Linked DNA regions of Schizosaccharomyces pombe. The protein of the gene in region 2 interacts with the protein of the main gene of each other region in a pairwise test. Each region holds a gene or a part of one and is shown on either strand. Other genes may lie near its edges.

The links. Proteins that work in one complex are often made in the same cells at the same time.
Region 1: the proteins of cul3 (region 2) and btb1 interact in binary tests that used the Schizosaccharomyces pombe proteins (3 or more experiments, as listed by UniProt).

The regions. Positions count from the first base shown.
Region 1 is NC_003421.2:129,649-136,109, forward strand, and holds btb1 (BTB/POZ family ubiquitin-type ligase substrate adaptor Btb1), read left to right. Parts: upstream 1-1,746; 5' UTR 1,747-1,868; coding exon 1,869-5,912; downstream 5,913-6,461. Other genes in the region: mRNA 5'-cap (guanine-N7-)-methyltransferase Pcm1, read left to right, coding at 283-1,365; sdh3 (succinate dehydrogenase cytochrome B subunit), read right to left, coding at 6,309-6,461. UniProt on the Schizosaccharomyces pombe protein: Probable substrate-specific adapter of an E3 ubiquitin-protein ligase complex which mediates the ubiquitination and subsequent proteasomal degradation of target proteins.
Region 2 is NC_003424.3:485,190-490,561, forward strand, and holds cul3 (cullin 3), read right to left. Parts: upstream 3,526-5,372; 5' UTR 3,427-3,525; coding exon 3,385-3,426; intron 3,329-3,384; coding exon 1,944-3,328; intron 1,905-1,943; coding exon 1,795-1,904; exon of another isoform or gene 1,743-1,794; coding exon 1,678-1,742; exon of another isoform or gene 1,634-1,677; coding exon 1,460-1,633; exon of another isoform or gene 1,409-1,459; coding exon 999-1,408; exon of another isoform or gene 943-998; coding exon 771-942; 3' UTR 534-770; downstream 1-533. Other genes in the region: TIM23 translocase complex subunit Tim15, read left to right, coding at 3,590-3,840, 3,885-4,161; gup1 (MBOAT family O-acyltransferase), read left to right, coding at 4,827-5,073, 5,149-5,372. UniProt on the Schizosaccharomyces pombe protein: Probable core component of multiple cullin-RING-based BC3B (BTB-CUL3-BTB) E3 ubiquitin-protein ligase complexes which mediate the ubiquitination and subsequent proteasomal degradation of target proteins.

The sequences.
Region 1 (6,461 bases), on a different chromosome or scaffold from region 2:
CCACTTCGTATTGCAACATCTACTTTTCTCGCCAGTATACCAACCACACTGCAACCTCATGCTATTGAATATAGTCTAATTTCTCTAAGACAGTAAAGCAAGTTTTAAAAGTCATATGTTTTTGATCTTTTTTAAAGAAGTTTCTGTTTTTTGAATTATTTTGAAGAAAATTATTTGTATGTAAGTTTGTGATCGATGGATAGTCATCATATGATGGAAAGATCGTTAACCTTTGAAAGAAACTATTCTCATTTATTTATAATAATATTTATAATAAGAGATATGAGCAGCTCGAACTCCCGAGTGCATGAGGAACAGCCTCCAACAGAAAATCGCAGATATGCGAGACCTACTGCACAAATGAATCGAGTAATTGAACAACAACCAAGGCGTCGCGATTACTTCCAAAACAATGACAACTCTGGTCGCAGAGGTTATAATAGGCATGAAAACAATGGTAATGCGCAGGATGTGGTACGTTCACACTATAACGCGCGTCCTGATTTGGGTTATAAAAAACGACAATTTTCTCCTATTATTCAACTAAAGAGGTTTAACAACTGGATCAAATCTGTTCTCATACAAAAATTCGCACCCCATGCTTCTGATTATCCTATTTTGGTACTAGACATGGGATGTGGAAAAGGTGGTGATTTAATTAAATGGGACAAAGCTGGCATTGATGGATATATTGGGATTGACATAGCTGAAGTTTCCGTAAATCAGGCCAAGAAGAGATACCGTGAAATGCATGCTTCTTTTGATGCACTATTCTACGCTGGCGACTGTTTTTCTAGCTCAATTAACGAATTACTTCCCCCAGACCAAAGAAAATTTGACGTTGTTTCTCTACAGTTTTGCATGCATTATGCATTTGAAAGCGAAGAAAAGGTTAGGGTCTTGTTGGGGAACGTTTCTAAATGCCTTCCTCGTGGTGGAGTAATGATAGGAACGATTCCCAATTCCGATGTAATTGTCAAACATATTAAAATGCTTAAACCAGGAGAAAAAGAATGGGGAAATGACATATACAAAGTCAGATTTCCTGAATCACCTCCACGCTCTTTTCGACCTCCGTATGGAATTCAATATTATTTTTATTTAGAGGATGCTGTTACCGATGTTCCTGAATATGTAGTTCCTTTTGAAGCCTTTCGTGCTGTTGCCGAAGGATACAATCTTGAATTAATATGGGTAAAACCTTTTTTGGACATCTTAAATGAAGAGAAAAACTCTGAAACGTATGGACCCCTAATGGATCGAATGAAAGTCGTTGATAATGAAGGACACCGTGGAATTGGTGGACAGGAAAAAGAAGCAGCAGGATTTTATTTAGCATTTGCCTTTGAGAAGAGGGGAATTTAGTCTTTTCTTTCCTTATCCCACTGATTCACTGTGCAGACCGCATTGTAGAAAGATCTTTCACGCTCGAAAGATCAGTACAGTGGTAGAAAAAAAGATGACTTTAAAAGATGTAGATTAATTTTTGATGGCAATGACTTTTATTTATTTATTCATTTTTATGCCTTTATTCTTTCTTTTTCTGTTTTCATATATTTTATACATAAGTAACATGCTCTCTTTCATTCCAGCTTAAGCGAATAAATAAAGTATGCTCCCAGGCATATTTCATCAAATCAGATTGCCCCAAAAATTGCCTCAAATATTAAGCGATAGCTTAAATCAATGCACCTGTCGGTATTCAACTACCAGCATCCACTGCTACTCTTCTTCCATTTTTTCTTCAGCAACAGTCAAGTTAAAAAACTGGAACGTTTTAATTGATTTGAGAGAAAATTTCTTATGGAGTAATCGATTGATTAAATGATAAATTCACATTGCGCCCTTTTTTAGTCTCGATTGATTAAATGAGTCATCTGCTTTTCGCGTATTACCTTTGCAACGACATTCGCTCATTCCAAAATCTACTGAAGCAAGATGATTCAAAGGTGAAAGAGCCTAGAAAGGGTTTTTCGGAAAAGAGCGGACAAAAACTCCGTATCAACCAAAAAGATCGATACGGACGCACCGTGCTGCACATCGCCGTTTCTGAGAATAAAAATTCCTTTGTTAGATCTCTTTTGCAGCATAAAGGCATTGATGTTTTTGTGCAAGATGAAGAATCTGGATATACGGCGTTGCATCGGGCAATCTACGTTGGCAACTTGGAAGCAGCGTCTTTGCTTTTATCAAAAGATCCCTCCTTCAGATCATTGCGTATTAAAGACAAAGAAGGTCTTTCTCCATTTCAATTTTTATCACGAGTCCTTTCAAGCACTATTCATCCGGTTCTTGACTTACCGATAATAGGAAATGAACTTTATGGCTTTGGTACTAACGTAAACAATACGCTCGGAATAGCAAATGGGAAAGAACCTTCATCGCCAGAAAGAGTGTTTTTACTGAAAAACCAAACAGAGTCTCCCACATCAGGTCAACTCTTTTCCCGAGACAAAATCCTTGATGTGCAGGCTTCCAAATTTCACAGCGTCGTACTAACGGATGAGCCGTCGCAAAATGTTTACGTATGTGGTATTGGTGCTGGAGGGAGAATAGGTTTTAACACGGACGTTCAATATAACTTTATTCCTATTCCTGGTATCATTCATAAAGTTATCCAGATTTCTGTTAGTCATACCCATTCACTTGCTCTTACAAAGTTCGGAAGTATTTATTCGTGGGGAAAGAATGGTTCTGGTGAACTGGGACTTTCTAATGACGAACTGAAAAAGGATGATCCAATTCAAATTACCCCTAGGCGTATCTCTGCATTCAAGGATTATCAGATAATTGGAATGGCGGCTGGAAAAAGTTATAGCGTTGCTTGGACTGACACTGATATTTACAGCTGGGGGTTAAATAATGGCCAATTAGGTATATCTGATCATATTTCAGTTGTTTCTACTCCAAGGAGAGTTGCTGGCTTATTATCGCCTGTCATACATGCCGTTTGTACTACTCGTGCTACGATATGCCTTTTACAAAACAACAGTATAATTGCCTTTTGCAATTATAATCAAGTGAAATTGCCATTCAACGTTGACTTTGGTAGTTCGTTAAAGGTAACTAAGCATCCTCTTTCCCTCACCAGATTTAACGTTAGAAAATTATTAGCTTCAGAAAACAAACTAGCCGTGCTTACAGAACTAGGCGAAGTCTATGAATTTGATATGAAGCTTTTACTTGATCGTGATTCTACCTCTTCCAAGAATTCCACACGAACTTCATTCAAATTTACTCCATTATGGATTTTTGAATCTTCAGACCTTGCAGCTTTAGATATTGCGTGGACCGCTGATAATTCTTTAATACTATGTACTAGAAATGGCACTTGTTGGAAACGGGAGTTAAGGTCAAAAAAGCGAGAAAAGTCATCTAGTAGCCCGTATTCTAGAGGACCATACAAATATAATAGAATTGAAAATTTACAAATGGTTGTTGGAGTCCGTGCGAGCGCTTCTGGATCATTTTTTGCAATTCGAAATGATTATCTTCCACCGCCAATCTACAAGCCTTCGAATATGTTAATTGATCTTTTGCGCTCACTACTTCCCTATGACCACCTTTTACATGTAAGACAACCACGTTTGATTCCTCCCGAAGATGAAGACGGAGTCCCTATTTTTGACGAAGACCGCGCTGCATCCAGCAATGAGATGCAGCTACTTTTTGAAGGATCTATACCGATTCTTACTAGTTATGAAAATTATAAGCAATCATTTTCTGATGTTACTATTTATTGTGGTACTTCTATGTTCCACTCACATAAGTTCATATTGTGTGCTCGATCTTCATTTTTGAGAAAATTATTGCTACAAAAAAAGAAATCGAGTGTCTCCAACATCATTTACATTGAAGAAATCACTCAATCTCATTCAACAATTAGAGTTGAAGATATTCCTCCTTTAGCGGTTGCTATTCTTTTGCATTATTTGTACACGGATACATTGCTTTCTCCATGGCATCTTGATTCACGCTTTTCACCTTTAAAAGAAAACCTTTCAAAACTTGCAAACTTACTGGAGTTACCTCATTTAGCGGAGGTTTTACCGTTTAGTGTTTCCCGCCAACCTTTGCTTTCTTTAACGAATGACATTCTGCAACTATATAATAATTTTTATGTCTTATGCGAAGAAACAATGGATACAGTAATAAAGCTTAAAGATGGAGAGCTCAAGGCACATGGTCTTTTTTTAAGTCTCCGCAGTGAATACTTTAGTTCTTATTTCCAATTTGTTTCTATGGAAAGCAATAGTTTTGACATCCCAATAACCGTCAATTTGTCTCATTTGACTGTTGAGCATATGTCAATTGTTCTTCGTCATGTATACAGTGACTTAAAAGTTGAGCTTTTTGACGATTTGAAAGAATCCGATTTTCATAATTGGTTGGAAACTATGTTCGAAATTTTGTCTATTGCAGACGAGCTTCTTTTTCTTGAACTAAAAAGCATAGCCCAGCAATCCTTACTTCGCTTTTTAAATTTGAAAACTCTACCTACTCTAATGGATCTTTCACTTAGTTATCACGCTGAGGAGCTTTATTCACGATGTATTGATTATGCTTGTCACAATATTGAATTCTTTTTGGAAGCAAATCGTATAAGTGAATGGGATGGTTTCCATTTAAAAAAAGTCGCTCAACGTTTAACTGAATTGCTTTCTGATCAACGAGTACATCTTCCTTCTAGCAAGATTGCTAATAGATTATTGATAAGAGATCCAGTGTTGATGGAAAAAAGAAATTATGAGCTTAAAGTTCTCAGAGAATACTTGTTTTCCCAGGAAAGTTCTCAATTATGGGACGATTCCCCTTATCGGTCTATTTTTGAAGATCGTCGATGCAGCACTTCAGCAGTAATTTTAGAATCTGGAATTGTTCCTTCAAGTAATCAAAGTGATTCATTAAATAAGGAAGATGCTGAGGAGAAGTCTCCTAAACCAAATGTTGTTAACGTTACGAGCATTACAAAGACAGCAGGAGCTTCTGTTGAAATTCAAAACAATATAGAGTCTGCTTCGTCAGGAGGGGATAAAACACAATTAAATGGTCCTGGGGCTGATCAACCTGTTACTGCAACAATTACTTTTGACAAAACGAGTCCATGGAGGAATAGGGAAAATCTTTCTCATAATAACAACACTACTAGAGCTAGTCTTAGAGAATTGCTGGAGCAAGAGAAAGCTGATGCTTCAACTACTACGGTTTTGTCTGATTCTAGATTTATGAAAGCTCCAACTAAAAAATCCCAACGTGAGAAAAAAAAGGAGCTTTCAAAGCAAGTGCCTATTTCCAAAACAAATGTTGGCCACATCGATATCGAGTTGGGTAAATCGAATCACTCAAACCCTTGGTCTGTAGCAACACATCAGAGGGGCAGTTTTTCGTCATCAACTGGAGTGAAAAAGTCATTTAATGGTATTCTTAGAGAGGCAGCTCGAGAGGAAGGTTCATCTCAAGTAATTTATCAAGAATCGAAGAAGCGCATTTCCAATGGTTCTCCAACTAGTTGGAACCTACTTACTAAACCATCTCCCCGATCTGCTTCTTTACCAAAAAATAGCCAACCTTTATCGATTTCGGAGATTATGACTGAGCAGAAAGAAGAAATTGAGAGTCAAAAGAGGAGATCATCTTTTAGAAAAACAATTGAGGAGATACAACAGGAAGAGGAGTTTCAAAAGTGGTGGGAGGAGGAGAGTTTGAGAGTACAGAAAGAACTTGGAATCCTTAAAACTGAAAGAGATACCTCTACGAATAGAAAACAGGGACAAGCTTCTAAACAACCTCAACGAAGGCACAGAAAGGAAAAAGATTCCAAAGTGTCAGAGTCCACTGCGGAGTTTAAATCTCTTCCTATTGATATACCAAGGACTACTCACAAGAAAGGAAAAGCACGTGCAGTCAAATGACCATAACAACGACTATATACAAAAAATTCAGGACATTAATTTATTCAACTTATGAAGAGATACTTTAATAGATATGTATAAGAAAAAATATTTGCTACATGGTGAATTATTTATTAAGCTTTTGTTTCACGATACCAATCACACATTTTACATACGCTAAAAATTCAATATTTGAAAATAATAAAATTGAATAGGAAACTTTGGTCATAAAGAAATTCAAAGCACGTACGGAATGAATACAAGAATTCGATATACACGGTAATTTATAGTGTATCAAGGACAGATCCAATTGTAGTGGAAAAATTATAGGAGAAATGATGCTGCTTCGTAAATTCACTAGAGAAACCGTGACAAGCAATTACAAAACGAGCAAAGATAAGGTTTGTTTCCATTCACCTAAATCATCGCAAAATAGCCAGAGGTCAAAACGGAAAGGGCAAGAACAGCATAACCGGTACGATAGACACCCTTTAGACTTAACTCCTTGGTGGTATCCCAGATCAAGTGACGAATACCGTTAAAAATGTGGAAAGTCAAAGGATAAGAAAT
Region 2 (5,372 bases):
GAAGTGTGGTACGCGGAACCAATTAAATGAAATTGGCGAACAAGTGGGGTTCGTTAAGATATTTGAGGTTATTTATACAATTTCCTAAACAAATAGAATTAAGCGGAGAATATACAGAATAGCATTGAACGGTAGATATTTTTAGGGGTTCTTCCGAGATTGCTAAAGAGGATAGCGTAGTCCGTTAGGAAAGAAGAATATTCTTAATGTAAACAACCAGGTGTTTCAATACTAAATCAAATACATAGCTTTATTATTTGATTAACACCTTAAAGATTATAAGGAGCTTTACTTGCTCTGGTATTTTCGATGTTATTAGTAGAGTCATCATCAAAAGCATACTGTGTAGGATAGTGTATTTACGGCGAATTCGCTTCCTCCCATAATAATTTTTTAGGTTAACACTTCCCATCTATCGTTGATCAAATACCTTAATCTATTTTAAACTGAGGGTTTTTCTGTTTTGGTCTTTTTGTACAATGTATATGGAACAATGTAATTTAAACTCATTACTCTACTATCTGCTCGCAGAATTAATGTATCAAATTTTGATTGATTTGGAATATAATCTACCTGTTTTCAAACCTTCTTATAGCATTACTTAAAATTTTCTTTTTTTCAAAAATAAAAAGGAAGTTGGTGTAAAATTCATGAGTGTCATTATAATCACAAAGCTTTTGCTAGATATCATCTTGAACAAATTGGTATCTTTCCATTTAAACATGATTTCTCGTATACGAATATTGCATTTCGTGTAACAGTTAAGGCTGCTATGCTAAATATTCATAAATGCGACCATTATCGGCTTGTCTTTGTAGGTACTCCCGCTCTATTAAAGCTTCAATTCGTCGCTTAATCATCATCGGACTAGGGTGGAAACGAGGGTTTAACTGTCTTGTAACCTCTGCCATCAGCTGATTGTGTTCGCACACTTTGCGATCCCTTAATTTACTGTTAGTAAAAATGTTTGAAAAAAAAAAAAAAGGAAAAAGACATACTTCATCACTCTAACAATACAGGCATCTGCTTGATGCTTCCTTGACTCGTCTACCTTCTCTAATGTACGTTTTCTCTCACTATCATCCTCAACACGAGTCTGAGCAACTGTCGATATTTTAATCCGGGCGAGATTTGAAACAAAGTTCTCATTGAAATAAAACTTGTCACCTGCATTCACCTCCCTTCCTTTTGGATCCTTTAGCAAAATCTTGTATTTTGCACAAGCAAGGGACTGAAGATTGCGCTTCAAATCCCCAACTTCTATATTGGTTTTTTCCAAAATCTCCTCAAAAATTAAACACTGATTTTCTTTTAGGTCTTGGAAAAGCAATAGAATAACAGATGCAATAGTCGATACATTCAAGTCATATTTTCTGTCTTTGAAATTAACACGGACATCAGCACTTCCCTAAATAGGATTGTTAGTGTGACGCAACAAGCAAATAAAAGTTTACTATACCATAGAAGGATACCACAATAATTTTCTCCCCGTATGTTTCGATAAATAAAAATCCGTAAATTGATCTATCTGAGCCAGGAGAACTTTCGGAAAGTTACATTTAATTTTGTGAGGCGATAAATCGATGGGCCAAAATGTAGAAGCCAAAATTGAAACGTTTAAGTCCAAAGCAGGCTAACTGTTAGTATAAAGGATTATCAATAAAAATTTCCACTAACCTTGGCCGACTGTAACGCAGAATTATGTTTGTACTCCTGTAACAATTCTTGTGAAAGATTCATATCTAAGCATTAATAAGGGAACGCAAAAAAACTTGCTAAAGTCTGAATACTTACCATTAAACATTCCTTCGAGCTTTTGAGTAAAAACATTACCAGCTTCTTGTTTCAGCCTACTGATCATTCCGAGCTCTGCATCGGAAGATATTGATCGATTATTCAACAACCTAAAAGTGTTAAAGACAGTAAAAACAATTAAAGCATACCTTTTTGCAAGGTGTGTTTTGTAATATTTTTCAAAAACATCTTTTTCTGAAATAAACCGAAATAACGTAACAGAATTTTGAAGTGTTGCTTCAATAGAGCCTTCTATTGCTTTTCTAGCATCTTTTTTCAGATTGTCATCAATGAATAGTGAAATGTACTCGGGGGCTCGGGTATATCCGTCTACGAACGTAACAAAAGCATCTGATAAAGAGTTCAAGATAGACCGATCAGCATCCATAGTAGTACTTATAATTGTATTTAGTCTATCCCATAAGGCCAAAACTTTTTGAACCCATAATGTTGCCATTGTAGCATTAGATGATAGACGACCAACAGCCATCTTTCCTTCAAGCGCTTGGCTAGTAGTTTCATTGATTAATTTTCCATGATGCGCTACATATTTCGCCAAGTATTTTTTTAAAGACTTCACGCCAAGTTCCACTCTAGAAAAGCTTTCGTAAACCAATTGAAGACCCTCGAAGTTTGAAGAGTCGATCATCGAGAAAAAGCCAGTTGATTGATTTTCAAGCAAATCGTCCAAATGTTTACTCAAAAGCTCATCTTCAACAACGGATAGAAGGGGGCTAGCTATTTTTGTGAACAGGTAATTCTTGGACCTCTCCTTTTCTTCCTCAAATCTTTTCTCTGCTTTTTTCAGATACTCCACAACTCCAAATACGCCGATGACTGTTGATGATTCTATTTCATAGAAATTTCTTGTGTAAGATAAAAACTTTGGAGCAAATAAAACATCATAAAGAGTTTCCTTTTTGTTTTCTGAAGGCAAAGAGTTTAGCATATCTAAGCAGTCATTTATTAAGGGTCGATTTATTGTATTCCCTTTACGTTCAAGATAAACCAGAATTAGAATAGTTTCGACACATTTCTCTCCAATTTCAAAACTATTTAACAAAACAACTTCACGAAAGATATATATTCCGTTTTCATTAACAGGAACTTTGTCTGCAGATTTTGAATAAACCTTGTCCAAATATTTTAATACACTAGATATCATTTGCATTGAAACAATGTGATCCTTCCAGGAATTAACTAAAGACGATAAAAATCTATGAGCCGCTTCCAATGATCTCGACCATGAAGTAGAATAGGAATCATTTTTTCTAATATCCAATAGAGCATTCCCTAATAAGGAAGCGTCATAGTTTTTGTAAATAGCTGGAACAGTTTCTTCTTTAAGCCTCGATCTAATAACATCCTGTACATGATTATAAAGCTTTTCTCCATACTTATGTAGAACAAGTATATATGCATTTCTATACAACTCTTCAAACGATAATTGAGATGTGCTTTTCTGAAATATATCCCCAATAGCTCGCTGCAAGACTTCCCAATGTGTAGCAAAGTCTACTTGGTTAGCAGAAAACTAAATGTCAGTATGTGAGGAAAATAATAAGGACAGCATGCATCAGGTACACTTACTTTTCGTGGCGCTCGAATTTTTAACTTCGCTGACCGCTGCATTAATAATGGAATTTAAAGTTAAGTTTCAACAAAAAAGCTAAATATATGGGCATATGAGTTTGCATAAAGAAACGCCAGCACAGACGGAAGTAATGGTACAAAAGGTGGTAGAAGGTACTAACTACGAACAACATTCTCCGAACACAAAAATTTTTCAAACATAATGTGGAGCTTTGCACGGTATACTCAAAAATTCTGTTTACGAAATTTGCAGTTAAAAAATTTTTCAAACAAGGTAAAGGTTTCAAGTTTACTTTTCTGTTCCCCGAATGTGAGAAACATTTCTAATTGGCAATGCAAACGCTTCACTCAAAGCGATGCTAAAGATCTTGCAAGTGGTGTTCCCTCTGTAAAATCAGATGCTGATCAATTACAACCTAAACCGACTTATAATGTTTCTTTTACTTGTACCGTGTAAGTATTTATAATTTCATTGAAGGATACTAACCAAATGAAAGATGTAACACTAGGTCAAATCACAATTTCTCCAAGCAGGCCTACCATAATGGGACCGTTTTAGTTCAATGTCCTAAGTGCAAAAATCGGCACTTGATGGCTGATCATTTAAAAATATTCTCTGAAGAACGGGTGACGATTGAAGACATTTTAGCTAAGAAAGGGGAAACTTTTAAAAAAGGCTATGGTCAAGTAATCAATGGCAATGTTGTAGAATTTAAGCCCCCTCAATTTAAAATTCGACCAGCAAAATCATCTTCTTCCAATTCTTCCAAATGAACTAGGAGAGCGATCAAATTGGGTTTAGGAGCATATAAATTGCAAGATATAGTCATTGTTTATTTTAATTTCTATAGTATATATTATTTTTATTTATTTTTGTAATACTTTGGTCAATATATACGACGTTCTAATAGAACATTTAATTATTATATGAGCTTGTTAACTTGAAATTATCTTTTGAATTTTTAGACTAGATGTGATAATTTAGCAATCATTGAGCAAATCATATCCAAAAAAAAATAAATTAATTAATTAATTATAAAAATTAACGATTTTAGAGATCTAAATGGGCTATACAGAATTATTGCAAACGAATGTAAAACATTTTTCAATATATAAGTTGCTAATTTACCAAAATCAAAATTTAGTCTTTAAAGATGCTTAATTAATATTTCTATTTTAATAGCGCGTTTTGTATAGTGCTGACTATTTTATTCATTCCAATAAACAATACAAACTGAATTTATTATTTTTAAAAATATAATTGATTTCATCATACTCTCTCTACCTTACTCTTAAAATTATTTACGGACTATGAAGCTGACACAAAGTGTAAATTACGCAGTGTCTTGCATTTTGCTAGTGAACACCACTAGGTTTGTTTACTCTATGATATTTTGAGAACCGACCATCTTCTTTGCTGTTGGTAGGAGACTTCTAGGATGTTACGTTTATTTCGATTTGATGTTCTTGAGACTTCGACCAAAGATACTGAAAGACCCAATTCTAAAAGTTCACGGTTAAGTTCGACTTCTGGTTCAAGTCATCCATCTTCATCTTCACGTTTGACCGTTCGAAGCGCAGTTCCGGAAAAGAGCGCTTTTGGTTCCATAGAATTTATTTTTTACTTTTCTGTCATTCTATCGATTCTAACAATTGCTTGTTTTAAAATTCATTATGTTAGTTCTCGTAAGTGTCAAAAGCTTTAATCAGCCTTTTCTATTTATCAATTTGAAATAAAGTAAGCAACTAACTAGGCGTCAGCAAAACATCCCAATTACAAAAACATTGAAAAATATTTAAAGCCTGGGTGGTTGTTTGGACAAAAAGTCGATTCCGCTGATTTTCAGTATTCCGCGTTTCGTGAAAATATGCCAATCTTACTACTTGTAATTATTGTCTATAATTTTCTCTGGAGACTCGTTAAGCTTGTCTTCACAAAAAATACTAATGATGAACTCGCTATAAAAAACAACTATCGACTTTGC